Linked DNA regions of Pelodiscus sinensis. The protein of the gene in region 3 interacts with the protein of the main gene of each other region in a biochemical or structural test. Links are inferred from orthologs where the notes say so. Each region holds a gene or a part of one and is shown on either strand. Other genes may lie near its edges. The genes, in order: GPBP1L1, SNX9, LRRK1 and ECHS1.

Region 1 (7,271 bases), on a different chromosome or scaffold from region 3:
CCAACTTCAGCTAGTCTTTAGAACACTTAGTACTCCTAGCATAATTCTGTTAACTGGAACATTACTGGTGAGAGGGACCTAGACTGCCATGTTCATTTAAAAAAAAAAGTGAGGAATTTTTCAGATTACTCTTATCACTATTCGATAATTAGAACTTGCCTACACACAAACTTGATGTAAATAATGGTAATTTAAAAACAGATTTAGACTGTTGCATGTGTGGACATTCTCATAGCAGTTATCATCAACTTGGTTTTAGCTTCCTTACATATTTAAGAGAAGTATAAGCCATTTTAAAAACTGATTTAAGAACATCAACCCATTCAGGGGCTTGTCCAAATGTAAACTGGATTACAAAAATTTAGATGGTTTATGGTTCCAAGTTAAATATTTTCTACATTTGGAAGAATGACTAACCAAAGGAAACTAAAATTGCTATCTTGTAACTGATGAAAAAAAGGGGGATCTATTTTCCACTTACAGTTTTACTTTTAAAAAGTAAATGTATTTACAATGCAATTACTAAATGTAATAGGATATCACCTGGTAGTCCTTTAGGAACTGCTATACACACCCATTTCCTGCTGGTATAGTAGTTTATAAAGCAAAGCATGTAATGTTGGTAGATTTTTCTTTAAAAAAAAAAAAAGCACAAAGTTGATTAAAATGACCATAGAAAAGCTACCAGAAATATATGAAATCTCCAAAAATATAAAATCAAGATTCAATTCATATGGCTTATTATGCAACAGGATTCATTTTTAAGTCATAACTTTAAAAAACACACCTTTGCAGCACATAACTAATTTCACACCCAAATTCACTAACCAGCAGACACTTAATATTTTCTAATGTTGAGTAACCAAAATGCTGAGTCTTGGCTTTGACACAGATGACTTTACCTGCAATTATATCTTATTCTGAGTTTGTCTCACATCTGAGCCTCAGGGGGTTTAGCTCTGAGGACAGGGTATATGCACAGAAATCAATGTTTCTCACTTGACTAGTATAAGAAACATGAGAACAGCACTGTTAAACTGGAAAATTTAATGGCAAAACTGTTTTATGTTTTCTCAAGAGGTTACACTTCCCTCCTATACATTTTTTAAATTCACATTGCAAACATCCAGGCCATGCTCAAAAGGCCACTTGTCTATTTCATGACACCACAATGTTCCTAACATTACTTTCAACAGGCTTCCAATAGCACAAAAGGATCCCAAAACAGTGATGGAGAGAAAAACATAAAATGCAAACTTTGCCTCCAGACTGTAAACCATCAAGTCCAGGAGGCTGCTGAAAACTTTCAACGTAAACAAAATCTTTGTTGTGAGTTACTGCATATCTGCTTTTCTCAAGCAAGGAGGCTGCTACAGATACTGGCTCTCCCACAAGCAAGAGCTGCTCGTTACCCAATGATTAGCTTTTATCCTGCCTAAGCAGTATCTTTTCAAGTATCTCGGAAGACAATCTGCTTGTTCCACATCAGCCCCTTTCGAAATGTTTATACTTTATGAAGTGAAAGAGAAATGAGCTATCCGGTAACCCTCCCCTCACAGGCCCCCCCGCTCCTGTCCCTTCCCCCCCCCCCCGCTTCCCCCCTCAAACCTCAATCACCCTGGCTGCTCCCTCAGCCAAATCCCTGGGTCCCCCCCCCCCGGCCTGCTCCTCGCACTCCGTCCCTCAGCTCTGCCCCCCCTCCTCACACAGCGGCCCCCCGCTCCTGCCCCTCCCCCCCCGGCTCCTCACACAGCGGCCCCCCGCTCCTGCCCCTCCCCCCCGCTCCTCACACAGCGGCCCCCCCGCTCCTGCCCCTCCCCCCCCGGCTCCTCACACAGCGGCCCCCCACTCCTGCCCCTCCCCCCCGCTCCTCACACAGCGGCCCCCCCGCTCCTCACACAGCGGCCCCCCCGCTCCTGCCCCTCCCCCCCCGGCTCCTCACACAGCGGCCCCCCCGCTCCTGCCCCTCCCCCCCCGGCTCCTCACACAGCGGCCCCCCCGCTCCTGCCCCTCCCCCCCGGCTCCTCACACAGCGGCCCCCCCGCTCCTGCCCCTCCCCCCCCGGCTCCTCACACAGCGGCCCCCCCGCTCCTGCCCCTCCCCCCCCGGCTCCTCACACAGCGGCCCCCCCGCTCCTGCCCCTCCCCCCCCGGCTCCTCACACAGCGGCCCCCCCGCTCCTGCCCCTCCCCCCCCGGCTCCTCACACAGCGGCCCCCCCGCTCCTGCCCCTCCCCCCCCGCGACCTAACACAGCGGCCCCCCCCCGCTCCTCACACAGCGGCCCCCCCGCTCCTGCCCCTCCCCCCGCTCCTCACACAGCGGCCCCCCCGCTCCTGCCCCTCCCCCCCCGCGACCTAACACAGCGGCCCCCCCCCGCTCCTCACACAGCGGCCCCCCCGCTCCTGCCCCTCCCCCCCGCTCCTCACACAGCGGCCCCCCCGCTCCTGCCCCTCCCCCCCCCGCTCCTCACACAGCGGCCCCCCCGCTCCTGCCCCTCCCCCCCCCGCTCCTCACACAGCGGCCCCCCCGCTCCCCGGCCCGGCCGTATCCCCCACTCGCGCTTCCAGCCCCCTCAGCGGCTGCTCGGCCGCCAGCGGGGCCCCGAGCCCGCAGCACAGGCCGGGCTCGCTACGAGCCTCCCCGGAGCGGCTCCGCTCACGGGCCCGGCCGTTCCCGGCTCGCTGTCGGGTCCGGCTGCCGCCCGCGGCGCGTCCCGCGCGGGGCCCCCACTCACCGGCCAGGCCCGGCGCTGCTCCCGCGGCCCCACAACCATAACAAAGCTCTGCCCAAAATGGCTGCCCGGCCCTGCCCGGCCGGGGGCCGGAGGGGAGGGGCTGGCGCGTGGGAGACACACCCACCTGGCGCGGCCCGGCCGCGCGCCTGGCTCCTCGCGGCTCGAGACCTCTCTCGCGGGACGCTCCCTAGGCCCGGTGCGGCCGGGGGCGGGGCGGTGACTCCGCAGCGCGAGGCTGGCGCGCGCCTCCCTCTCCGCGCGCGCGCGCGCCCCCGCCCCCCTCCCACTTGTCCAGGCGGCTCGCGCTCCGCTCTGTTTGTATCTGTCATAGGGTCGCGGGAGGGAGGGGGCTTGCCGCCGTACTCCCCGTGCGGGACTCCAAGTTCCAGCATGCACTGCGCTACCTGCTTCACCTCTTGTGAGGGGGCCGCGGCCGCACTGCATGCTGGGACTTGGAGTCCCCTTCCGTCCCCCCGTCCCCCCCCCAGCAGCGCCCGCCTCTTCATCCCTTAAAGTGAAAGGAAGGAAGTAAAGTAATCCTAGAAAGCAAACGTGTGCTCCTCCCCTCCCCAGCACGGAGGAAATCCAGACAAACAGTGACACAGAGCAGACAGGCAGGCTTTGGGAGTGGAATTTCAAATCAACCTTTCCTGCTCAACAGACATTTCCTCAGCGAGCCAGGCAGGCGGCAGCAGTGGAAACAATTGGCAGCAATGGCTTTAAATTCAGCACGAGAAGCTTCACAGTCCACCCACAAGCAGAGCAGTGACGCCCCAGAAATGCTTCCTGCAACATGCAGTTGCAGGGCCAGGAGGATTCCTTGTCTGCTGCCGTAATGTTTAGTGCTATTCTCCACCCCTAACCTGTTCTGCAAACCTGCGCTAATCTTCACCGGACCCGCTGTAAAGCGATCAGGCCCAGCAAGGACTAGACATTCAGAGGAACTGTTCCAGGAAAAAGATGCAAGACAAGTGACTTCCCCATTGGTGGGTGCTCCTGCTGCAAGCCTAAAAGAAACATCAGTACAACCGTTAAGAAGGAAGAATACTATGTGCTTCAGAAGCTTGTCTCTCTCATCAGCAGAAATTGGTCCAATAAAAATGTTACCTCATCCACATTGTTTTTCCAATCAATTAACTAGTTAGTCAACGTCCGGGTAGTCTTCTGAACATGTAAAAGCATGTGTGCTTGTAGCTGCAGCTGCAAAGGTGGGGTTTGACTACTGCATGCTACATGCGTTCTGCTTACTCAGGACTGCATGCAGGTTTCATTTAAATAATGATAGAAATTTAGCCGTGTTAGTCTGGGGTATTTTGCTTCATTTAAATAAGTGAGACTACAAAGCGGGGGTGTCGCCTTCAGTGGCACCCACCAGGCCCACCCCAGCTCTGATCCTGCACATATGCATGTGGCTTCCCTGTTCCTTGATTTCTTTTTGGAGGGGGTGGAAGGAGCCTTGCTTTTTGAACGTTTGGCAGCGCTGATGGCCCCTCGGTGGGAAGACTTACACTGCCTAAGATACGTTCAGCATAAACTGCCCGCAATCAGACTTTTTCAATAGGGGAGAGACACCCTTGTATTTCTGTAATGCAATTTCTCCTCCCGTTAGACTTGATGCCTGTTAACCCTGCCACTCCCACCCTCCTGACTGCTGAGCGCCAGGGCAAAGGGGGATTTTGGTCACGCCAGGAAACTAAAACAGACACGTCTGGGGAGTTGGAGTCGCTGTTTCGCAGCCAAAGCGGAACTAGAGCGGCCGGCCCGTGTTGTTCCGGGCTGGGGCTCTATACCCAGCGCACACTGGAAGCCTGCCCCTCCTGCCGGATGCTGCAGCCTGTCTGCAGCACGGGAAGCTGCCTGGGGCAGGTGAGTGATCCCCCCGGAGGCAGCTGGAGGTGGGGGGGGGGGGGGTTGTGTTGGGCGCCCCAAAGAGAGGAGCGGCTCTGCCTGTGCAAACAGGGCTTGCTTTCCTGGAACGCTCTGCCACAGGCTCTCTGGGCAAGTGACTGATTTTCTCCTCCAGGAGTCTTCCTTTGGCCGGGTTGGTTATTCAGCTTGTAAACTCTTCCTTTCTCCAGCGGGGGCCAGGCTTGCTGGGAACTTCAAGCTACTTCTGTAATACACCGTGGACCCATTTCAAACATCCTTTTATCCAATCACGGCATCACCTCTGTGTTCTTAAGGGAACAGTGGATACTATAGAAACTTCCAACCTTTAGAGGATTTTGGGGGGTAGGATTAGTGGATTCAATTTGGGGCTGGGAAAAGGAATTCTAAATCCAGCTGTGCCATCAACCACCTGTATGGCCTCCACAAACCATTTATACTGTAAAATGGAGACATTTACCTACTTCATGGGTGCCTTGAGATATACTTTGGCCTTGATTTGGAAAACAAAAACAAAAAAACCTCCCCAAAAACAGCATTACAAGATAATGGCCTTAACTTGTAAAGTGATTTGAAAACAACCCTGTAAAAGTTAAATATAATTAGTTGGCTAGAATACAGACAAAAATGTTATTAGCTGTATAGTGATTTAAAAAAAGTCATAGTCTCCATCTGCTTCCTCTAATTTATAAAACAAAATGGTTCTGACTCTTACTCTAATATAATATGGAAAATAAATTGTTGTAGTAACTTATACTAGACATGCTCTAAACTTGGATAGTCTACTTCGTATAGCTGTCATTAAATGACATCTCCTAACATTTTTTTCTTCATCCCATAGGGCCTTCTGCTAAGCAAAAATGTTTCACCTTGTACAGCGATGTTGTTTCCAAATACCTTTAAATGTAAGTTTTGAATGCATTATTTTATCCTGAAATAGCTTTTTACAAAATAAGACGACAAATAATTTTGGGTATAGTATAAAACACAGTTGGCTCATATTTTACAGCAGACTGAGGCTTCATTTTTATCAGATTTAGTGTTTTCCAAAGGAACTTTTCTAATGTTTAAAGTTAGTCAATGATTTTTTCCCTGACTTTTGCATGGCGTTAGACCTCAGCTCACCTACATTGATTTATTAGGCTTACTGATATGTTTTTTCAGTGGTACTTGACAGCTAAGAATATTAAAGGGCCAAATCCTTCCTTCTGTTATGGCTCCATAATCTTAGTGAAGTTGGTGGGATTTCATGGGGTGTAACTATGGTCAGAACTTAAAGGGACAGTATGGATCATATAAGCACCACAAAATTCCTTTTCATTGAAACAGCTGCAACATGATGGTGATGACAGGGTCTCCATACTATTAGGCCAGAATCTGCAAAGTATTTTTTAAAAGTTATGTAGCTGCTGTCTTTTGATTGAATATAAAGAAGGCAGAAAGGTGTTGTGCTGCTTCCCCTACACCTTCAAAAATGTCAGTTTTTGTAAGAGGGCCTTCACCTTAACAATTAACACAGACTTTCTTTTATCTCAGGGGTTGGCAATCATTTTTGATGGGGGGGCCACTCCAAGAATGTGGAAGTGGTCAAGGGCTGCACTTTTCCATGATGTTAATAGAGGAGGTGCAGGCTCTGGGATGGAGTTTGGGTGCAGAAGGAAACTTGAAGCAAGGGAAGGAGTTTGGGTGAAGGAGCCAGTTGTGACCTGGGACACTGGACTGGCATGCAGGGGGTTGGATTGTGACATAGGGCAGGGAATTGGGATACAAGAGGGGGGCAGAGGAATTGGGTATGTGGAGTAGGGGGACAATAGGGGAGGCAGAGGGTTGGGGAAGGGAGGAACTGGGGTGCCAGACTGGACTGGCCAGGAGATTTACCAGCCAGCAGCCTGTTCCTGAATCAGCCTTCCTTCCTGCCCCATCCCAGCACAGGCTCTAGCCATGTGCTCTGGAGCCCCTTGTGCTTCATGGCTGCCTGTTATTGAAATGGTAAGCTGCCATTGGCCAGTTTCTGGCCAGAAATCGGCCAATGGGATTGTGCTGGGGACAGGAACAGCTCCTAAAGCTTCCCCCCACCACCACTCGGGACTCAACAGTTTTTAAAGAAAAACCACCCCGCAGCCAGCTTTGAGTGGCATGCAGATGGGGCAAGGCAAGTGGGGAGCCTGGATGGGTAGGCTGGATTCGGCCCATGGGCCGTATTTTACCCAGGCCTGTTATAAAACATGAAATTTCAACAGGGAGAGTAATTTTGTGCAGGGCTGTTTTATCAGAAATCTTAGTGAATTAAATATAACAAGATGTTTAAAGAGAAGTTTTTAAAAGTGTCTAAAAATCCTGTTCCCTTTCAGTTGCTCTGTGTTGTTGGCTCTCATGATCTCATTGCATTAGTTCCCTACTTATGATAGAAATGTCTACTAAGGATGTAATCGAGTAGTTGATTAATCACATTTCCTCCCATATCAGAGGCAGCAAGGGGAGGAGCGGGAGCCAACTTAAAAGCCAGTTCTCTCCCCAGCACTGTCTCCGCAGTGCCATCTGACAGGAGGCTGTTCCAGCAGCAGCCCCTGTCTGCAGGGGATCCCAGCTACCTGCCTGCCCCGGTCTTACTACATTTAAACTGCAGAGCCACAGTGGGGGGACAGGGAGT
Region 2 (7,803 bases), on a different chromosome or scaffold from region 3:
GACAACGAGGTCTTCATTTAACTAAGTAAGCCCTCTCTAGTGAAATTGTCCATTTCTTCACTAGATTCTACTGAAATGATCACTTATTTCCCTGGAAAATTTAGTTCAATAAACTCAACCACAAGAGTGCATATTTACTATGAAAAGTGCATATTTACCAGGTGCCTAGTTTTGAACTGGATAGTCCGGTATTTGAGCTTTCTGTTCGGAAAACAAACTGAGAAAATATAAATATCTGCAAAAGCGACGAGGAGTCCTGTGGCACCTTATAGACTAACTGAAGTGTAGGAGCATAAGCTTTCGTGGGCAAAGACCCACTTCGTCAGATGCATGTCAGATGAAGTGGGTCTTTGCCCACGAAAGCTTATGCTCCTACACTTCAGTTAGTCTATAAGGTGCCACAGGACTCCTCGTCGCTTTTGCAGATTCAGACTAACACGGCTACCCCTCTGATATAAATATGTGGTATTTTCTAAATAGGATGTAATGTAGATTGTGCTATAATGTCAAGTGTGTCTAGTATTTTTGTTGAAACCATCTGGCAACCCTATCGAGGGGCAATAACAAAACCCAACATAAATTCTATCTTAATAGCTTTTATGCAGAAGAGGAGACTTTTCATTTCTAAAATGCACATTGATACCTCAGTTTGAGGCATGGGGCTTTAGAAATACAAATCAGGTTTTGAGTAGATAAAGCCATATGTATCAAATAGAAAACATGAGCATGATTCAGGAAAGTGCTGAGTACTTTTCCCTTTATCCAGCAAAATATTTAGGCACATGAATAGTCTCATTAAAATCAGTGGGATTACTCATATGTCCACGAAAGCTCATGATACCATCTACATGTTTTGTTAGTCTTTAAGGTGCTATTAGACTATTTGTTGTTTGTTAAGTTTTTCCTGTTACAGACTTACTCGGCTACCCCTCTGAAGCGTTTAAAGCTAAGAACATGGTTAAATCTTTTATGATCAGGATGAGAGTCCTCAGCACTCTTGCTAGGCAGCAAAAAATTTACCAATACAAAAGGTTTTAGAAATCACTTTAGGTGTCTCCTATTGGCAGTTGGTTTGTGCTAAGACTTTTGTGTTAGCTTATAATGAAGGTTTCAGATAGGCAGAGAATTGTGATTTCCCCTGCACATAAAAAAAATCCTATAAGAATGTAGACATGAGCAGCTACCAGGAAGTTCCTCATATAAACATTTCTGTCTACATGGCTATTAGGCTGCAAATAATCATGGGAAGACTCAATTGACACCAATTTCCCAAAATATTCCTTCCCCCTGTGAGAGGGAGGGCAAACCCCAAAGGAAAACCTGATTGCCTGTACACATGTCTAATAAACCTCCTTGTTAAGATCAGCTTGTGGAGGAACATTGTCTAGAGTCAAAGATGAGATTTTAGATGTGTAAAGAGGTCTGGCAAATTATTACTTTGTTTTGTATCTAAGATAATAGATAAATGTTGTTTCAGTAGCTATCGGGGTAGAGAGCAAGATGTTTAGAACAAAGTGGAGAAACACTGAAGTGTTAGGAGGAAAGGTTCCTCCTATGTATGAGAGGTTCATTCTGAAGAACTGTTCTAGAATGAAACAATTAGAACATACACACATCTTAGCACATCTGTCTGGTTTGTCAAAGTAATTTAAAAACAGAATCAAAATGGAGTTTAAATATTTTTCAGATTAATCAGTTCTTATTACTGTAGCACCAACCACAGCATTTTTTGTTGTAAAACAGCTGCTTCTCTGCTCTGCAGCAGCCACATGTGTTCTTTATTGCTGCTGTTCAATATGATACCTAGAAAAAACCCCATATATTTCACTTTATCTACATAAAAGGCGGGGAAAGTTGCAACTTCATTTCCAAGTTAAAAGACTTGTGGGCATGCTGTTTTTCTGTTTTGTTAAAATTGCCTGGCTTAGTGGAAAAAGTTACCCATAGCAAAAGAAGCTTGTAAGCACTTCAGATACAGAAATATGCATGTAAGGTGTTTTGTAGCTTCACAGTATTATACATGATTTTTAGGACTAATAATGCTTGACTCATTGACTATTTGTACATTTACACTACTTTTTAAAAAACTGGATTGAAGCTGAGATGTTGCTACTGGTCAAACCCCAAACAAAATACACCCTCAAATAGCTATCTATGCAAACTAGGCATATAGATAATCTATGCAAAATATGTTTGTATTAAAGCCATTATATTCTGTCCCCCTCAATTTGTTTCACCCTATTGCAGCTTTTCCCTAGCCTATACATTGACTGGAAAAAGAACTGTCTTTTACTGTAACCCTGTAGAGTGAGACAATAAGCTGTCATGTTGACTAGTATTGTCTCTGTTTTCTTGTCCTCCTGCTTCTGTCTGCAGAGCTGTGCCATTCATAGGACGAATTGGGGTGGCCACCTGGGTTCCAGGCTTTTGGGGGCCCTGCAGTGGCCGCTCCAACCATCCTATAGATGGGAAAGACCTGGGATATACAGGGGCTTGGCATGGGGTGACAGCAGGGCTTGCCTGCACTCACCACACAGCAGCAGGAGCCAGAGTACCCCTACAACCTGCTCCACCCTGCTATGCCACCCTCCTGGCCCGCTGCACTCTGCTTCCTGCTGCTGCGGAGAAGTGGGACACAGCAGGCTGGGAGGGTGGCATGGCAGGGCAGAGCAAGCTACTGGGACATTCTAGCTCCCACCACCCATGTGGTGGTGGTGGTGGTGGGGCAACCCCTACTACTGCCGCACCAAGCTCCCCAGGCCACATTGCTCGGAGGAGAAAATAAGGGGGAAAGGAGGTGGAGAAGGGACAGGGCTTAGGGAACGGATAGAAAGGGGGCAGGGTCTGTGATGGGAGGTTGCCCTAGGCTTCACATCTTATGACTAGAGCACTTGGTGGAGGGGGGATAACATCAGGCCCTGCACCCCCCTTGGGAAGGCCCTGTCTTTGGTCTCTTGTCTTGTATGTCTACACTAAGGCTGTGTCTAGACTGCATCCCTTTTCCGTAAAAGGGATGCAAATTAGACATATCGCAATTGCAAATGAAGTGGGGATTTAAATCCCCCCCGCTTCATTAGCATAAAAATGGCTGCCGCTTTTTTCCAGCTCGGAGCTTTGCCGAAATAAAGCACCAGTCTAGACGCGGATCTTTCAGAAAATAAAGCCTTTTCCGAAAGATCCCTCTTAAAATGAGGGATAAGGGATCTTTTGGAAAAGGCTTTATTTTCTGAAAGATCTGCATCCAGACTGGTGCTTTTTTCCGGCAAAGCTCCGAGCCGGAAAAAAGCGGCAGCTATTTTTACGCTAATGAAGCAGGAGGGATTTAAATCCCCGCTTCATTTGCAATTGTGATATGTCTAATTTGCATTCCTTTTACGGAAAAGGGATGCAGTCTAGACACAGCCTAAAAGTATTACAGTGGCACAGCTGAAGGTACACCACTGTAGTATTGTGGGATAGACACTTGCTACAGCGATGGGGATTTTCCATCACAGCACTGCATCAGTTCCTCTTAGAGATGGTAGCTAGGTTGACAGAAGTCTTCCATTGACCTATAGGTACCAGGTCAAATTAACTATGTCCCTCAGGGGTGTGAATTTTTCACACCTAAGCACGTAGACCAGGCCTTAGTCTCTGCCCCAAAGAGCTTACAGCCTATCTTTTTGGTTCTTTATTTGTATAGCATCTAGCACAATGGGGTCCTAGTCTGTAACTGAGATACCTGGAGTATTTCTACACAGGCTGTAGCAGTGAGTCTCCCAAGCGGGGGTCAACAGACTTGGGCATATGCTACCATGTCTAAAAGAGCCATATAGACATTTTGGTTTGGGCTCTGAAGCCTCCTCTTTGGGCTTCAGAGCCGGAGCTGCCACTCCAACATATATACAGCTACTTTTAATATGCTTACATCAGCAGTGGAACCCTAAGTCTGTGAACTGGGATTGGGGGGCTCGCTGCTGTGGGCTATGTAGATGTACCTGATGGCATGAAGTATAAATAAATAATAATATATAGTGTCTAGTACAATAAGCCTGATTGGTCTTTTATGTGTAACTGTAATACTATCAGCTTGCTGAGGCCCAGCTGACACACAGCTTACAAACAAATTACACATCAAAAGACTGAAGTCAAGAGGAAACTTGATGTGATAGTAGATTCATTTCCTAGAGGTCCAGGTTTCTGAAATTACTGTTCCAAGACTGAATGGAGGATACCTACTTTCATAGAAAAAGCAAAAACAAACAAAAAACACCTCATCTGAGAGTAAAATATTTGCATTGGGAAATATTTGGCAATGGGAAGAGTTGCTTAAAAATGCATTCACTTTTGCATTGGTGGTCTCTTTTTGTAGGAGGGTAAATATGTCAGCTGTGTCAAATGAATCTACCAATAGTCCCTGCAGTACATTAAGGGCTGAAGCAAAAATTATGTTAACACTCCCCCCCCTTAAAAACCGAAAATTTTAAGTGACTAGGGCGATTGTACAAACTGCCTAAGATGCAAAGCACCCAAAGAAAATACTGAGGCTTACGGCAAATGAGTGAGGAGAGTTGGGGCAAATCTAAATAGTCAGGATCAAATTCTGCCATTAAATCGGTGTCAATCCGCAGTAACTCCGGCTTTGCACCTCACGTGCCGCCTCTCTGATTCCAATCCTCTGCCCTCGCCCAGCCGAGCAGCGTGCGCCGGGGCACAGGGAGCGTTTGGGGAAGCGAGACGGGCGGAGAGCGGGACGAACAAAGAGGCGAGGGGGCAGAGGAGAGCCGCGAGCGGGGAGGGGCCGGGCCGCTGCCCTGGTGCTACATTAGCTCCTGCCCGGCCGGCGCGGCGCGGTTGTGCCGAGCAGCCCGGCGGCCGGAGGGGGCGGTGGCTTTGTGACTGGGAGTAGCTGCGGCCCAGCAGCGGCGGCGGCGGCTCCGGGCCGGAGAGACGCGCGGCGGGAGCCCCGCGCCAGCAGCACCATGGCCACCAAGGTGAGGGGCCCGGCTCGCTTCGGGCCGCGGGGGGGTGGGGCGAGCGGCGTGGGGCGCCCCCTCTCGAGGGCGAGTCCCAGGGGCCCTACGGGCGAGGGGGGGGCTGGTGCTTCTCTGCGCCCGGCCCTGGCGCCTGTGGGGCGGGGGGCGGCCCCAGGGCGCTGTGGGGGTGCAACCCCCCGAGGGCGGCTCGGGGCAGGGGGAGGGGGGCAGGTCCCGGGGTGGCCTCCCCCCCCCAACCCCCCCGGCGTGTAACCGCCAGGGCCGGGCGCTCCAGGAGACACCCACCCGGGGGGCGTGTGACCGCGCCTGGCGTGGGCCCTGGACCCGCTCCCGGGCCTGCCAGGCGGGAAGAGGCGTTTCCAGCGTCGCAAAGTTTTAACAGAGAAAACTTTTTCTCCGCCCGCTCTTGGCGGCCTGTCACCTGAGCCCGCAGGCGGCGGTAGGGTCCCGCTGCCCCACAGCGAGCGTCTGGCCCGGGCCCCGTGTAACCCACAGAGCGGACGGGACCCCTTCCTGAGGTGCTAACCGCAGCTGCACCTCGTTTAAACACCCCTCTCTGCGCCGAATAAACCACAGCCGCCTAACCTGAAGACTAATACTAGCTGGAAGAGCTGAACCGTGTCTCGCTGTTTATGATGTGGGTGTGTGCATTTTATCCTGTCTGGATAGATTGGTCAGTTTCATTGCGGTGTCTTGTTTGGGGTCTCCTGTTGTGGCCAGTAGTGGCATAGTTTAGGTGGGAATATTTGGGGGAGTGTTTTTAAATTCAAGCACATTTTTCATTGACCTTTCAAAGAAGTGGCGTGGACACCTTTCTCTTCACACTCGGTATTGTAAAACAAAGAAATAAATCTTTGGGGGCCGAAGAACGCCCCACGTATCTCTTTAATTTCACAGTTGTGAAAGGGAAAAAAAAACATGCAAACAAACTTGGGCCTTTACTTTTGAGAGTTGCTGAGTGCCTGCAGCTCCTGTTGACATATGTGGTAGTTGTGACTGTTCAGAGTCCTTGGAAAAAGTCCTCGTGGAACCAATCTCTAGAGATCTGAATGTCATTCAACTTTGCATTCTGTCCTGTATTTTTCTATACTTCCCATTCAGTCAGGAAGGAAAATGACTGTGGTCTTAAGGCCTGGTCTACACCTGAGACCTAGGTTAACCAGCTAAGTTACTCAAGGGTTTTCAAATCCCAAGACCCACAATTAAGGTGACCTAAGCCTTGATTTAGACACCTCCCAGTAGACAGAAGGAACACTGCAGCAGTGCTGTTGCAGCATTTTAAGTGTAAACATAGCTTTAGTATGTGATACAATGACTTGTGTTACAAAAACATCAAACACAAGACTTAGTTGCTCAATGGAACTATGATTCTGTGTATTTGCTTGGCAGCATTGCTTGTTTTTTGTGTATAGTGTAATAGGGTTTATACACCTGATAATGTCCAAATATCGAGGGTATCTTTTCAAGTGAGTTTGATTGCAGTAGGATAAATTCATTTATTCTCTTCTAATGGCTATGGTTGCCAACTTTCCTGATCGGACGAACCGGATGCCATTTGTGGAAATGTTGTCTGGTACGGGAGACTAGGAAACCCTGTAGTGGTGCATTTGTGTGTGTGTTCCACTTTATAAAACAAGAATACCACTAATAAATCGGCCACTTGTAATCTCTAATTGCTCTTATAAAAACTGATATATAAAAAAAGTATCTTCTGAATAATTTTCTGTTTTTTGTAGATTATGTAAAATACTGTTTTCCTTCTGCCATGTTATTTTGTAGCATGTGAATTAGCAATATTTGGAGTTATGTCTGAGTTTTAGTTGTGTATATGGTTTCTAAAATGTATGATGAGATTAGTTTTTGCTGTTTCTGAATATTATTAGAAAATGAATGTAGTAATTGAGCTTTGCATTTCTGGAACCAGTCTAAGTTTCCAACAGTATTTATTTGCTATATTAGTATTTTTTTATTTTAACTTTTTAAAGTTCAAAAGTACCTTTAAAGAAAACAAGTGTTCTACTTATTGTGCCATGTCACAGTATTGGAAACAATGTTTTTGGGACACAGCTGGGTTGCATAAACTAGTTCTGCAACTTAGAAAGTTCATTTGTGTTAGTAGTAGACCATGTTCCTATAAAATAGTGATAATATGATTCTTAATACGTCACAGATTTGTATATTGTACATATCCAATTTAGTGTATTAATAATATTTTATAGTCACAGTACTCTTTAGATAAGAAGCCTAAATCACAAATCAAATAGGTGTTTTTGAAACTTTTATCCTTACACCTAAAATTGGGTTTGATATGTATCAGAGGTTTAGAATGTTGATGGACTGGGCTCAGTGTTAATATTTTTGGTATAGACTAACTTGCGTTAAGTGTGTATATGTGTGCCCATGGACACAAAGGGCACTTCATGTGGTCATTTGTGGGAAAACTGCATTGCTTCTGGCAAATATGTACTTCTGCAATTGGGGTAATCAGTTCAAATCGTGTTCATTTCAATGTGGAATAGGTCCTGCACTGTATTTAAAGAAGGCTATGAAGAGCCATTGTTACTTTTTTCTGGTACAGAATTAACTTAATTGTATAAATGTAGAGAGTTGTGCTCTCGTTTTTTTTTTTTAAATAGCTCCCTGATTTAAACTTCTTCAGAAACAGAAGACCGATCATGTTGTCCCTAATTTAACTAATGTTGTGGGCAGAAGAGCAGCAATTATTTTTCATTCTTCTTTTATTAATTTTTAGGCACAATTTTTGTATTGCTTTTTTATTTTAACTTTCAGTATTTACAAATTGAAAAGTGGGCTTTTTTGTTTTGAG
Region 3 (7,197 bases):
TCTTGCATGTGGATCTTGGCTAGTAAGACTAGGTACTCTGGTTGTTAGCACTCCAGTTACCCAGAGCACTCACACGGGGCTTATGTATTTGGCAACATTTCCAAGCCTTGTGAGTGCTGATTTATGCAAATGATTGGATGGGGTAGCGAATGGCTGTGGAAGGAAGAAGAGTTGCCAGATGGGTTAAAAAAAATACTCGACAAAAATTTGATAAAAATGTGTCAATCAAAAAAGAAAAAAACGGGAAAATTTGTTGAGCAAAAATGTTTTTAAAAAGCACCGGGGAGTAACCAGGGAGACCTGGATAGAAATGCAGTCCCAGCCCCTTTAATTGCCATGTGTCCTGAGTGGCTTCCGTTGGGTGCTGAGCCAGGCCCAGGAAAAGCAGAAAAACTTCCTTAATTAGAAAATACCAGACATTTATGTGTCCAGTATTTTCTCAGTCTGTTTACTGGACTGACCGGTTCAATAATGGACACCTGGTGATTCTAGAAGAAAGCCCAAAGGAGAGAGGAGAAAGTAAAGACCACCATGTGGGGAATAAAGAGAACTGGTCCAGAAATAGGTTGAAATGTTCCCAAAAATAAAAACTTCCAGATAGCTCCAGTTGGGAAAGAACGATAAAGGAGGAAGAGGCAAAAGAAAGAGGAGATGAGCATTGAAGATAGCTCTAGTAAAGGGTTGAACTTATTCTATCTCTACACAGTGAAGAGGATAGAAAAATAGAACTAGAAGGAACCTCTTGAGGCCATCAAATCCAGTCCCCTGCACTCATGGCAGGACCTGCTAGACCAGGGGTGGGCAAAAGGGCCTCTGTGGGCTAGATTTGGCCTGCAAAGTGGGTGGATCCGGCCCACGGAGGCCCTGCTGCTCCCCTACCCCCAAGCCAATTAGGCCCTGGGGGTGGGGGAGTGCCCAAATCCTTTTCCGCTATGCCCTCGCCCTGCAAGCAGTGTGCGGCACTACGTGCTGCTCGCAGGGCGGGGGTAGAGCGGAGAAGTCGTCACGTGCACCTCAGGTCTTAATTGTCTGGGGGCATGGGAGCACGCAAAGTCTCCTCCCGCCCTGCGAGTAGCACAGGGTGTTTCCTGTTTAGGCCCCGCCCCTTCCAGGGTGGTCCCAGGGCTACTTCACAAATTTTTGCATGAGTAAACATGCAGAATTTGTAAAAAATTATTGCCCGCCACTGCACTAGACTGTGCCTGACAGGAGTTTGTCTACTCTGCTCTTAAAAATCATCAATCATGGAGACTCTACAACATCCGTAAACTGTTTATTCCAGTGTAAAACTACCCTGACAGGAAGTTTTTCCTAATATCCAACTTATACCTTCCTTGCTGCAGTGTAATCCCATTGCTTCTTGGAGTTAAGGAGAATACAGGCAGTCCTCGGGTTACGTACAAGATAGGGACTGTAGGTTTGTTCTTAAGTTGAATTTGTATTTAAGTCGGAACTGGTACATATTGTAGGGGAAACTCTAGCCAAACATTTCTCCAGAGCTCAGTTTTATTCTCCCACACCTCACTTCCCTCAATCCTTTATTCTCAAACTGAGGTGTCTGCTGAGAAAAGCCGCTCCGCGTCTCCCTGGTCTGCTGGGGGGAAGCAGCTAGTGCGGGGTTGCCTCACCCCGTCTGTAAGTAGGGATCCGATGTAAGTCGGATCCATGTAACCCGGTGACTGCCTGTAATTTTTCTCACTCCTCCTTATAACCACCTTTTAGATACTTGAAAGCTGTTATGTCTCGCCTTATTCTTCTCTTTTTCAGACCAAACAAACCTATTTCTTTCAGTCTTCCTTCATATAGGCCATGTTTTCTAGATCTTTAGTTATTTTTGTTGCTCTTCTCTGAACTTTTCCAATATGTCCACATTTTTCCTGAAATGTGGTGCCCAGAACTGGACACAATACTCCAGCTGTGGCCTAAAAATGTGGAATAGAGCTCAAGGATTACTTCTTGTGTCCTGCATACAACATTCCTGCTAATACATCCCTGAATAATGTTTGGTTTTTTTGCAACAGTGTTGCACTGTTGACTCATTTAGCTTGTATTGCCCCCTCAATCCTTATCTGCAATACTCCTGCCCAGACAGTTATTTCACATTTTGTATGTGTGCAATTGTTTGTTCCTTCCTAAGTGAAGTACTTTGCATTTGTCTTTATTGAATTTCATCCTATTTTACAGACCATTTCTCTAGTTTGTCCAGCTCATTTTGAATTACAGTCCTATCCTCCCTAGTTGAGAACTTGAAAGTGGGAGACAACTTGGGTGAAAGTGATCATGAAATAAGAATTAATGATTCAGAAAAGGTAGGAGGGAGAACAGCAAAATAAATGGTAAGAATGATAATGTCAGTAAAGTTTCAGTCCTAATCTGTAGTGACTCGACTCTTTTGTATTTTTATGATGTTGTGAGCAAGTCATTGTTTCATGAGGCAAAACCTGGGAGTACACAAGACAAATCAGGCTCCTGAAAGGGGTATAGTAGTCTGGAAAAGCTGACAGCCACTGGTCTGCATTATCCTCTTACGTCTCCACCCCTACTGCCCAACACTCTCCTGCCTAACAAACTCCTACAGGCTGTGAACGCTGGCTCCTCCTCACTAGGGATGTGAGTAGTCTAGTTGACTACTCACTTCCCCCCACCCCTGCCTTGCTGCCTCTGTATCAGGAACCAGCTTAAAAATCGGTTCCCTCCAGCACCCTCTCCATGGGGCCACCTTTTCCCTCCCTCCCCCCGCCCTGCTGCCTCTATTAGAGGCAGCAGGTTGGGGGAAGGGCAGGGGAGGCTGCCGCAAAGTAGCCTTTGACCACCATGAGCCCAGGCTGGCCACAGGCAGAAACTAAGGATGTTAAGTAGCGAGTAAATTACTAATTGTGTACTCAATACAATTTGTATTGAGTATATGATTAGTTGATAAAGGGCCACTGCAGCTCTGCAGTTAAAATGTAGGAGCCAGGTGTGCAGGCAGCCTGGCTCCTACTACATTTAAACAGCAGAGCCGTAGCAAGTAGGTCTGGGACCTAGTGTGAGCCAGAACTGAGGAAGCCTTCCCTTATCGACTAATCCTGTAGTTGATTAAAAATGTTATTAACTACATGATTGGTGGATTACCCACCTCTTAACATCCTTACTCCTCACACCCCTTCCACACCCTTCACCTAGCCCTCCCCCTCCCTTCAGCTCTCCTCTGGCCTTTACCCACACCCCCCTCTCTCCTCCTCCTCCTCCTGCCAGTTCTCTTCTCACCTACTTCCATAGCACTCACCCCACCCCTCTCATTTCTCTTCCCCCCTCCCCTGTCCTCCCTCCTATTTCTCCTTCCCATCCCCATTCTCCCTCTCCTCTCACATTTCCACCCACAGTCCCCTTTTCTCTTCTCCTCTCCTCACTCCTTCACCCTTCCCCTCTCCCCTTACACCCCTGCTCTCTCACCCCCTCCCCTTCTCCCATTTCACCTCCCCATCCTCACTCCCCTTTTTCCTCCCCTCACACACCCCATTGTCATCCCCTCCCCCCTCACCTCGATTTCTCCTCCCCATCCCCATTTTCCTCCCCCTCCCCTCACTCTTTCACCCTTCCTCTCCCCCCACACACCCCATTGTCACCCCCACTCTCACCCATCTCTCCTCCCCCTCCCACTCCCATGTCTCATCTCCCCTCTCCCTCCCCTCCCCTCCATTTCTCCTCCCCATCCCCATTTTCCTCTCCCTCACATTCCCACTCCCACTCCGCCTTCTCCTCCCCTTCCTCTCACTTTCACCCTTCCCCTCCCCTCACACAACCCATTGCCACCCCCACTCTCACCCATCTCTCCTTCCCCTCCCACCTCCATGTCCCATGTGCCCTCCCTCTCCCCTCCCCTTCTCCTCCCCATCCCCATTTTCCTCCCCCTCACATTCCCACTCCGCCTTCTCCTCCCCTTCCCCTCACTTTCACCCTTCCCCTCCCCTCACACAACCCATTGCCACCCCCACTCTCACCCATCTCTCCTCCCCCTCCCACGTCTCATCTCCCCTCCCCCTCCCTTTCTCCTCCCCATCCCCATTTTCCTCCCCCTCACATTTCCACCCCCACTCCGCCTTCTCCTCCCCTTCCCCTCACTCTTTCACCCTTCCCCTCCCCCCACACACCCCATTGCCGCCCCCCCTCCCCATTCCCCGCCCCCCGCCCCTCCCGGGATTGAGGAAGTGCCCCGGCCTGTCAGGCTGCGCCCCGCCCCGTTCCGCGCCCTCCCGCCCGCTCCGGCGCCGCTGCCGCCAGCTCGAGCCCGGGTGGCCGGCGGCGCAGGAGGCGGCTCCGCGCCCCACCGAGAGGCTCCCGAGGCAGGGACCCCCCGCGCGCGAGGTACCGGGGCTGGGCGGGGGGGCTCCCCGCCGCGTCCCTTGTGCCTGAGGGTGGCAGGCCCCCCCCCCCGGGCTAGCCGGGGCCCCCAGCGCGGGGGTGCACGGCCCGGGCCCTGCCCCCCTCCCGGGCCGGGGGCCGCAGACTCACCCCTGCCTGCCGGCGGGAGCCTTGTGGAGCGCGGGCTGGCGGAAGGAGGGTCTGGTGCTCTAGGGAAAAGGGGTGTTTGTTCCCCCGCCTGGTTCTGGGGCGGGGGGGGGGGCTGCTGCTTGCCAGGGCCCCCTCTGCCCCCTGACTTTGCCAGCCCTCTGGTGTCACTCCCCCGGGCAGCCCAAGGTTCCTCTCGAGGCTTGGAGCTGCTCAGCGCCGGGCACTTGGGCGAGGTGTGTTTGGATCCTGTCGGGGTCCACGAAGGACCCTCCTCCAGCCTGTGGGGAGGATTTGCTAAGTCCAGGACACACACTAATGATGGGGGACAAAGAAGAAGAAAAACGCGTGGGAGTGAAGAGGGCAAAGGGCTAAAACAAGGGAACAGGATGGGAAAACCGAGCAGTGGGTGGGTTTGGATGATTAGCGGGTACCTAACTCACATTGCTGCTGCTCTTTGGCAATCCCCAGCCAAAGGGACTCTGTTGGGATGGTAACCCCTTGTCTTACCTTTGTTCTGCAGAGTTAGAGCTGGTTGACCATTTTTTCAGTGATATCCATTTTCAGCGAAAGTGGCTTTTTGGACAAAGTCCATTTTCATGACAAAATATTGGTGTAGAAAGTTTTCAGGTTTTTTGTTGAAACACCCTCCCCCCAACTTTTTTTAAAGTTTAAAAAAAAAATAAGTTGAAGATTTTTTTTTTGCCAAAATAGTTTTTCAGGAGAGGGGAAATCATTTCCTCACCTGCTCTCATCAGAATGTTAAAGCTCTAATTTATTTGTAACTATTTATTCTGATGGTAATGTAAGCATGTGGTTAACTTTGCTCATGTAAAAGTTCCATTGGTATCCCTGGGATTGCTTGTGTGAGTAAAGTTAAATACATGAATATGTGTTTACAAACTCAGGGTCCATCTCAAGCTGCTGCTCAGGAAAAATTAGAGGTGAGAAGAGCATCACGAAAAGAAAACATTTCTATAGATATGTTTGGGTTGTTTGGGTTTTTTTTAATAGAGCCTAATGTTTGGGAAAGGAAATGTTTGGGTTAAATAAGCCATAAGCAGGAAGCTGTTGTCTTTTCATGAAAGCTGGTGGTAGAAGGGAAATAAAGCTAACGTAGGTTAAGGAAAAGCTTCCTTTTGTTCAATAACCATTCCAACAGCCATCAGGAAGCACTCTGAGGCTACATCTATACTGAGGAGCTATTTCAGTATCCCGAAATAACTATTCCACGTCTTAAGAGTAAGCCCATTATATCGAAATATAATGGACTCGCTATTCCGACATCTCTGTAAACCTCATTGCATGAGGGTTAAGGGACATTTCGTAATAGCGCTTTATTTTGAAATTTGGTGCTGTGTAGACAGCGACAAATTTCAAAATAAGCTGTTTCGAAATAAGTATGAAATAAGCTATGCAATTTGCGTAGTGCAAATTGCGTAGCTTATTTCGAGGTAAGGGTGTTGTGTAGACGTACCCTTCGGCTCCAGAATAGAAGCACTTCACTTTTATAGTGTGCATATTATTATTACTTTACTTTCCACTATATAGAACTCTCTCACTGGTCACTTCAGAGTGCTTCATAAATAGTAATTAATCAAATGTTACTATATGTCTGGAGGTAGATAAATAATATAACTACACTGCAGATTTGAAAACTCAGGAATACAACATTTATGTGATTTGCTAAGGTCATACAATGCATATCAGAGGGGGAACAGAACCCAAGAGTTCTTGCACTGACCATTAGCTTTCTCTGTCTCTGCTGCTATGACCTGTGGAATAGTGTACAAATGCATTACCACTTTTCCCAAAACTTGAGGTAGATTCCTCATTTTGACACATGTCACTTGAAGAGCACTTTAAAAAGTCTTCTGAGTGATTTAAGTTGAAAGATACAGAGCAATGTCATGGTATTGTGACAATTGATTTAGTCACATGGGAATTAGGAGAAAGGTGGAAATCCAATGGAGAATGCAGTAGGTGCAAAGGATTGACATTGAATACAAACTCACTTCTGGTTCCAACTTCTGTTATTTTTTGTATGTTTCAGTCATTATTTAAATAGGCACATGGTGCTTTACTTTTCACTCTGTCTACTTTTATTAAATGTTATGAGTGGTATTAGTGGCTGCTAGCAAGTTGCAGGGAGCTAGACTAGACAGACCTCTGATTCTGTGGAAATAACATGGCACTATTTTTTTCTTCTGCACAGAGGTACTGGTGACATAAGACAGCTGAGGATACATTGCCATTATATGAAGACCAAAGATGGATTGTTATTTTGCAGGGATTTTGCCCTAACAGAATGCCAAGAGCCACATTCTCTCCTTGCATTGGTAGGTATGTTATCAATACCTCACCTGGGTGTGACAATGTCCTGATATGAACCCACAGTTGGTTTGCACCAGTGACTGCTTCATCCACCTTCATGCTCCATGATGCTTCCTACTGTGATTACCCTCCTGACACCTGGCCTATAATGTGGCATCACATTGTATTGAAAGCCGTTGTTTGGGCAAAGAACTCAAGATAATATTCCGGAGTCTCCTATTGACTTGATGAATAATCTTGGGCAAGTCATTGCACCTCTATATGCCTCAATGTATGATACAGGAGTATGATACAAATGGGTATGATACAGGATAGTCACAGGAGTATTGTGAGGCCTAATGAATGTTTATGAAGTGTTTTAAGAACTTTGGG
Region 4 (7,049 bases), on a different chromosome or scaffold from region 3:
GCAATATTTTTCTGTAAGGCCCTGCGTATCAGCCCAGCTCGTATCGCACAGCCCTCTCCCCCGGTCAGTATTGTCAGCTCGGGTGCCCAGTTGTCCTGCCCATTTTACTTCCATTTCTTCTTCTCCTCTCACCCCCGCACACACTTCCTGTATTCCAATCTGCCAGGCCAAGACACTACCCGTCAGGGCTGCATGGAAATCTCTCCTGAAGCCTCATTTCTCACATGCGTCCGTCTGTGGACACTGTATTTTCGTTGGGGCACGAGCTGTTGTTGCTTGTGCCTTGTACTAGGACAGGTAACGGGTGTGAGCTGCCCAGGGCAACACAACCAATGCCCACTTGGACGAAGCTGGAGGGGTCTGCGAAAGACTCAGCACACCCTGAGTGCTCGAGAACTGAAATTAGCATTCCTGAGACTGCCAGAGCCCAGCCCGGCCGGGGTCTGTCTCCCTCTGGGCAAACAAAACAGCCCCTTATTTTACTATCCTCCTCCCCATAGAACCGGTGGGGGAGGAGGTTTGGGCCTGGGATACAGGTTTCCTTCTCCAGAGGAGGGATATAAAATCCCATGTACTCAGTTAATGGATTAACTGTTGTGTTTAATTGGTTCACTGGTTAAGCGGGAGCTTGTGGGCGAGGGGCTGGGCGCAGGCCGAGTAACCCCCCACCTGCAGGGCTCCTGACCACAGAGGGCTGCGGATGAACTGGTTACCTGGTACTCATTCACATCCCTACTCCACAGCAGCATGGCTGGTCCCTTCTAGGGCTATCAGATTCGTTGACCGGTTAAAGAATTAAAGGGGAGGGGCAGGCTGGAGTGGGGGGCAGGCTGGGCGACGGCGTCTCTAGTCCCTTCAACATGCCCTGAATTAACTGAGAAAAGAACTGAATGTGGAGTCACCCTGAGCCCTGCTGGCCTGGCTTTTGACAGCACCCGTGGGAGCTGTCTGTGCCAGGCGAGGGTACGCCCAGGGGACACCCTGGAACCAGGCTCCAGCCCGGACAGCTGCCAGGGGCCGTCCTGAGCGCACAAGGCCTCAGAACGCAAAGCGCTTCGGGTACAAGGAGGGCCCCGGAGCTCCCCGTCAGTGGAGCCACTGCAGCTGCTCAGTCAGGACTGGGGCACAGGCCTGGCCTCCTGCCCAAGGGAGGGGGCAGGCTGCCCGTCCAGTCCCATCCCCTCTCCCCCGCCAGCTGAGGGGAGACAGGGCAGTGGGCGCAGCCCCCCAGAGCAAGGCAGCGCTGGGCAGCAAGGCGCGACCGGGTCGCAGGCGCAGTGCAGGGCTCCAGGCCGGAGAACTTTGCCCTCTGCTTTCGGGCAGCAACAGCTCCCGAGGCGGCCACACACGCAGGGCCTGAGCAAACTTCCAGCCCCTGAGCTCCCAGCGTGGCCCAGCCCCCCGGGTGCTCCCCCAGACCTACTGCCAGGAGCCCCCAGGCCGCAGCTCACACAGGCATGGGGCAGTGCAGGGAGCCAGCTCTGTTGGGCAGCGCCCTCTCCTGGGGGGGCTGAGGGAGCGTCCCCACCAAAGCAGCCCCAGACCTAGAGGGGCTCCCCACACCACCCAGCAATGGGGAGCCAGCAGGCAGGGGCAGCAGGCTCCAGGGTGGGGAGTCAGTGGGCTGAGCAGCCTGCAGGGAACTGAGTCACCCCCTGCACCCCAGCCCCCACTGTCCTCCAGCCACCCCGTACCCCAGCCCCCACTGTCCTCCAGCCCCCCATCCTCCAGCCCCCCTGTACCCCAGCCCCCACTGTCCTCCAGCCCCCCCGTACCCCAGCCCCCCCCGTACCCCAGCCCCCACTGTCCTCCAGCCCCCCATCCTCCAGCTCCCCCGCACCTCAGCCCCCACTGTCCTCCAGCCCCCCTGCACCCCAGCCCCCACTGTCCTCCAGCCCCACTATCCTCCAGCTCCCCCGCACCCCAGTCCCCACTGTCCTCCAGCCCCCCTGCACCCCAGTCCCCACTGTCCTCCAGCCCCCCTATCCTTCAGCCCCCACTGTCCTCCAGCCCCCCTGCACCCCAATCCCCACTGTCCTCCAGCCCCCCATCCTCCAGCTCCTCCGCACCCCAGCCCCCCTATCCTCCAGCCCCCCTGCACCCCAGTCCCCACTGTCCTCCAGCCCCCCTGCACCCCAGTCCCCACTGTCCTCCAGCTCCCCCGCACCGCAGCCCCCACTGTCCTCCAGCCCCCCATCCTCCAGCTCCCCTGCACCCCAGCCCCCCTATCCTCCAGCCCCCACTGTCCTCCAGCTCCCCTGCACCCCAGCCCCCACTGTCCTCCAGCCCCCCATCCTCCAGCTCCCCCGCACCCCAGCCCCCCTATCCTCCAGCTCCCCTGCACCCCAGCCCCCACTGTCCTCCAGCCCCCCATCCTCCAGCCCCCCTGCACCCCAGCCCCCCATCCTCCAGCTCCCCTGCACCCCAGCCCCCCATCCTCCAGCCCCCACTGTCCTCCAGCTCCCCTGCACCCCAGCCCCCACTGTCCTCCAGCCCCCCATCCTCCAGCTCCCCCGCACCCCAGCCCCCCATCCTCCAGCCCCCCTGCACCCCAGTCCCCACTGTCCTCCAGCCCCCCTGCACCCCAGCCCCCCATCCTCCAGCCCCCCTGCACCCCAGCCCCCCATCCTCCAGCTCCCCCGCACCCCAGCCCCCCATCCTCCAGCCCCCCTGCACCCCAGCCCCCACTGTCCTCCAGCCCCCCTGCACCCCAGCCCTCTTATCTCCAGCCCCCCCCGCACATCAGCCCCCTTATCTCCTGCCCGCACCCCAGCCCCCCTATCCTCCAACCCCCCCCGCACCCCAGCCCCCCTGCCCCCCGGACAGCGGCCCGGCCCAGCAGCCGCCGCTCACCGGCCGAGCAGGGCCGAGCCGGGGCTCGCAGCAGCAGCAGGCGGGCCCGGGCCGGGCAGAGCAGCGCGCGCAGAGGGACAGCCATGGCGGAGCGGAGCCGAGCCACGGGGCCTGGAGCACCCGAGCTCCGCCCCTGCGCGTCACGCCCCGCCCCCCAGAGCCTTCATCTGCATAGCTCCGTCTATCCCCCGCCCACAGCCTTCATTTGCATGGCTCCGCCCAAAGCCCTCATCTGCATAGCTCCGCCTATCCCCGCCCCCCAGAGCCTTCATCTGCATAGCTCCGCCCAAAGCCCTCATCTGCATAGCTCCGTCTATCCCCGCCCCCCAGAGCCTTCATCTGCATAGCTACGCCCAAAGCCCTCATCTGCATAGCTCCGTCTATCCCCGCCCCCCAGAGCCTTCATCTGCATAGCTCCGCCCAAAGCCCTCATCTGCATATTGATAGAAATGTAGCCCTGTTAGTCTGGTGTAGCTGAAACAAAAAACAGGACTATGTAGCACTTTAAAGACTAACAAGATGGTTTATTAGGTGATGAGCTTTCGTGGGCCAGACCCACTTCCTCAGATCAAATAGTGGAAGAAAATTGTCACAACCATAGATACCAAAGGATACAATTTAAAAAAATGAACACACATGAAAAGGACAAATCACATTTCAGAACAGAAGGGAGATGGGGAGGGGGAGGTAAATATCTGTGAGCTAATGATATTAGAGGTGATAATCGGGGAAGCTATCTTTGTAATGAGTAAGGTAATTAGAGTCTTTGTTCAAACCTAAGCATAAAGTGTCGAATTTGAGCATGAATGACAGTTCAGAGGATTCTCTTTCAAGTGTATTCTTAAAAGGCTTTTGAAGCAGGATACAGGTAATCAAGTCGTTGAGACAGTGTCCTTTCTGGTTGAAATGGCAAGGAACTGTTTTTTCTTTGTGATCCTGTCTAATATCTGTTTTGTGGGCATTGATCCTTTGGCGAAGTGTCTGAGACGTTTGTCCAATGTACATAGCAGACGGACACTTTTGGCACATGATAACATAAATTATATTTCTTGCGCAGGAATTTACCTCCCCCCCCCCATCCCCCTTCTGTTCTGAAATTTGATTTGTCCTTTTCATATGTGTTCATTTTTTAAAATTGTATCCTTTGGTATATATGGTTGTGAAAATTTTCTTCCACTATTTGATCTGAGGTGGGTCTGGCCCACGAAAGCTCATCACCTAATAAACCATCTTGTTAGTCTTTAAAGTGCTACATAGTCCTGTTTTTTGTCTCATCTGCATAGCTCCATCTATCCCCCGCCCAGAGCCTTCATTTGCATAGCCCCGCCCAATATGGGTAACCCCGCCCCAGTGCTCAACCTGTGGGTGCGGTCAGGGGAGGAGGAGACTCAGGGGGCGTGGCCAGCAGTGGCTTCAGAGACACCGGGAGGATGGGGGCAGTGGGTGGGTTGAGGGGAATATGGGTGGGCAGTGGGTAGGCTGAGGGGAGTGGGTAGGACCATGGGTTGTGGACGTACATTGTGGTGTAAGAATGACTTAACAGTGTGACACTGTTGCAAAAAAAGCAAACATGCCTCTGGGCTGCATTAATAGGAGTGCTGGGTTCAGTTTTGGGCACCACATTTCAAGACAGATGTGAAGAAACTGGAGAAGGTCCAGAGAAGAGCAACAAAAATGATGAAAGGTCCAGAGAACATGAGCTGTGAGGCAAGGTTGATGGAATTGGGCTTGTTTCGTTTGCAAAAGAAGACTGAGAGGGGAGGTGATCGTGGTTTCCAGGTATCTATAAAGATGTCCCGGGGAAGATGGGAGGAAATTGTTCTCCTTGGCCTCTGCTGATAGGACTAGAAGCAATGGGCAGCAAGGGAGGTTTAGGTTGGACATTAGGAAAAACTTCCTACCTGTCAGGGTGGTGAAACTCTGGAATAAATTGCCCAGGGAGGTTGTGGAATCCCCATCACTGGAGATATTTAAGAGCAGGGTTAAATCAACCTGTCAGGGTTGATCTAGATGGTGCGTGGTCCTGCCATGAGGGCAGGGGACTGGACTTGATGATTTCTCGAGGTCCCTTCCTGTTCTAGTGCTCTGTGACTCTGTGATTCTATGAAGTGTCAGTGTGGCTCGTTTCTTGGTGTCTGAGGTGCTGTGAGATGCTGCAGGCTCCCTGCTAGCCGGGCCAGTCACAGTGGGGTGGCCTGTACTAACCCAGCCCTGGCTAAGCCAGCGTGCTAACTCCTGACAGGAGGCTGGGCCCTTCCCAGGTCTGCTGGGCTCTTGAGCTGCCTTTCTCTGCCTCAGTTGGCCGGGAGCAGGGCATTCTGGCTTCGCCCTGGGGCAGAGCATTGAAATTCACCTCGGTCACGGCCACCTGGACCTGGGCCTGCCCAGCCAATAAACAGCCACACACCCACTCAATCCTTCTGAACCCTCTGGGGCAGCACAGCTGGGAGGCCTTGGCTCTCCTAGGGCAGCACCACCCAGCTCTGGTCCCCCGCAGCACCTGCCCACTGCAGACAGCTGTTTATTAGCCCCTCACCGCACTCTCTGGCTGCCAGGGAGTGAGGGGTCGGCCGCCCTTGTCTTGACGCAGCCATAGCACCGCGGTCCCTGCTGGGCCAACGTCCGGCGCCACGCCTAGATTCTCCAGCTTCTTTGTGGGTTGGGCCGCCTGTGAAATCCCACCCAATGACTTCAGTTCTGATGCCCTGTTTTCAGGGCTGAGACGTGACCTATTTCTATTGGGCCCTGGCCATCTGAGCCCCGTAGATGGCGCCCGCTGGTTAGCAAATCTCTGACCTGCACTTCCAAGGTTTTCTTGTTTTCTTTATTTTAAGGACTGTATTTGTCTACTGACCCCTCCTAGTACATGGGGAAATCTCCCCTTGCTTGCCCCATTTCTTTTGGTATTCCCAAGTTCCACTCTGATGAAGTGCTTCTCTCTTTCAATATTCTTCCTCCTCCAGGAGTCATAGCAATTCGTGTCACTCCTCTAATGTGACAATCGTTTGTAAAGGAAACACCCTTTCTATTGCCTCGGAAGGAAAGGGACAGAGGTTGTGCATTCAGGGACCACGTAGCCATCTTTCAGGCTTGCAGCAGCGCAAGAGGTGTTCTGCTGAAGGAACAAGACAGGTGAATCCCATAGAGAGACAGCGTGCGCACCCCTGCCAGCAGTATTACAGGCGGCAGAGTCCTTGCAGGGTAGCCACGCGGTGCTTAGAACACAGAGGCAAGGCAGCCTCATAACCAAGCTCTCCACACGCAGCAGCTGAGAGCCGGCTGCTGAGACACATCAGGCAGGTGGAGGTCCATGGCTTGGGGCGCACGATGCGCTGGGGAATGCATCCGTCACCGGAACAAACAGGGCAAACTCCGGCGGCCGAGTGGAGGAATTTTCCATCTCTTCTGTGATTCTATAAATAACAACTCCACCCGCTCTGCGTGGGCACGTGCAGAGCCCTGCTCACATATGTCCCCCAAACAGAGGCTTGCACGTGTGTGCCGGCACCCCACCGCCCATCTTCACGCATGTACCCACCCCCGTCTGCATGCACTCATCCGTGTACTCACCCTCCCCGGCATGCAAGCCTCCCCACACACGTGTGCACATGAACGCGTGCCCCTGCACACACCAGCATCCATGCACACCAGGATAAAGAGAGCCTCTAGGCCCATGGGATGGGGCTGTTGGTCTCTCTGCCCAGCATGGTGTGCTGGCTGTCCCTGTACGATGGCTGGGCTGCTGCAAGGCCTGGGCACAGCAGACCCCAAAGCCCAGGCTGGGCGCACAGGTCATGCCAGGCCCCTGCGGCAACCCCCTTTGGGCAGCGTTCCTGAGCCCCCCTCGCCATTGGGAGGGGGCCCTAGTAGTAGCAGGAGGAAGCCAAGGAAACATGCAGGAAAGACGTACTCAGGTCTGTCTCCTCTCCACCCCCCGCCAGCCTGCACACCCCCTCCCCATCCTCTCCTCCCCCGAGGGCTCCCCAGCTCACTGCCCCCTCTAATCCCAATGGCTTGACACACGTTGCCTAGAAAACACAGGGCCCTGCCATCACATCGTGCAGTGTAATCCAGCCGTGCCCCAGATATAGACGCCAATCTTCCTCGGCACCTCTGGCACTGTGACAGGGGGTGGGGGTGGGGGGGAGGCTCCCGTGGGAACTAAGGGGTATCACTGAAAGCAGAGCCCATCCCTC

The links.
Region 1: the proteins of LRRK1 (region 3) and GPBP1L1 form a complex in vitro, tested with the Homo sapiens proteins (2 studies listed by BioGRID and IntAct, with this or other methods). The link is inferred for Pelodiscus sinensis from reciprocal best matches to the Homo sapiens genes LRRK1 and GPBP1L1.
Region 2: the proteins of LRRK1 (region 3) and SNX9 form a complex in vitro, tested with the Homo sapiens proteins (2 studies listed by BioGRID and IntAct, with this or other methods). The link is inferred for Pelodiscus sinensis from reciprocal best matches to the Homo sapiens genes LRRK1 and SNX9.
Region 4: the proteins of LRRK1 (region 3) and ECHS1 form a complex in vitro, tested with the Homo sapiens proteins (2 studies listed by BioGRID and IntAct, with this or other methods). The link is inferred for Pelodiscus sinensis from reciprocal best matches to the Homo sapiens genes LRRK1 and ECHS1.

Annotation. Positions count from the first base shown.
Region 1 is NC_134719.1:2,019,948-2,027,218, forward strand, and holds the start of GPBP1L1 (vasculin-like protein 1), read right to left. Parts: upstream 3,010-7,271; 5' UTR 2,859-3,009; exon of another isoform or gene 2,735-2,858; intron 1-2,734. Other genes in the region: TMEM69 (transmembrane protein 69), read left to right, coding at 5,482-5,526. UniProt on the Homo sapiens protein: Possible transcription factor.
Region 2 is NC_134713.1:112,089,634-112,097,436, forward strand, and holds the start of SNX9 (sorting nexin-9), read left to right. Parts: upstream 1-4,793; 5' UTR 4,794-4,961; coding exon 4,962-4,973; intron 4,974-5,593; exon of another isoform or gene 5,594-5,608; coding exon of another isoform or gene 5,609-5,617; intron 5,618-7,803. UniProt on the Homo sapiens protein: Involved in endocytosis and intracellular vesicle trafficking, both during interphase and at the end of mitosis. Required for efficient progress through mitosis and cytokinesis. Required for normal formation of the cleavage furrow at the end of mitosis.
Region 3 is NC_134724.1:7,440,040-7,447,236, reverse strand, and holds the start of LRRK1 (leucine-rich repeat serine/threonine-protein kinase 1), read left to right. Parts: upstream 1-4,191; 5' UTR 4,192-4,347; intron 4,348-4,485; exon of another isoform or gene 4,486-4,727; intron 4,728-5,302; exon of another isoform or gene 5,303-5,435; intron 5,436-6,706; 5' UTR 6,707-6,834; intron 6,835-7,197.
Region 4 is NC_134718.1:6,674,644-6,681,692, reverse strand, and holds the start of ECHS1 (enoyl-CoA hydratase, mitochondrial), read right to left. Parts: upstream 3,013-7,049; 5' UTR 2,939-3,012; coding exon 2,854-2,938; intron 1-2,853. UniProt on the Homo sapiens protein: Converts unsaturated trans-2-enoyl-CoA species ((2E)-enoyl-CoA) to the corresponding (3S)-3hydroxyacyl-CoA species through addition of a water molecule to the double bond.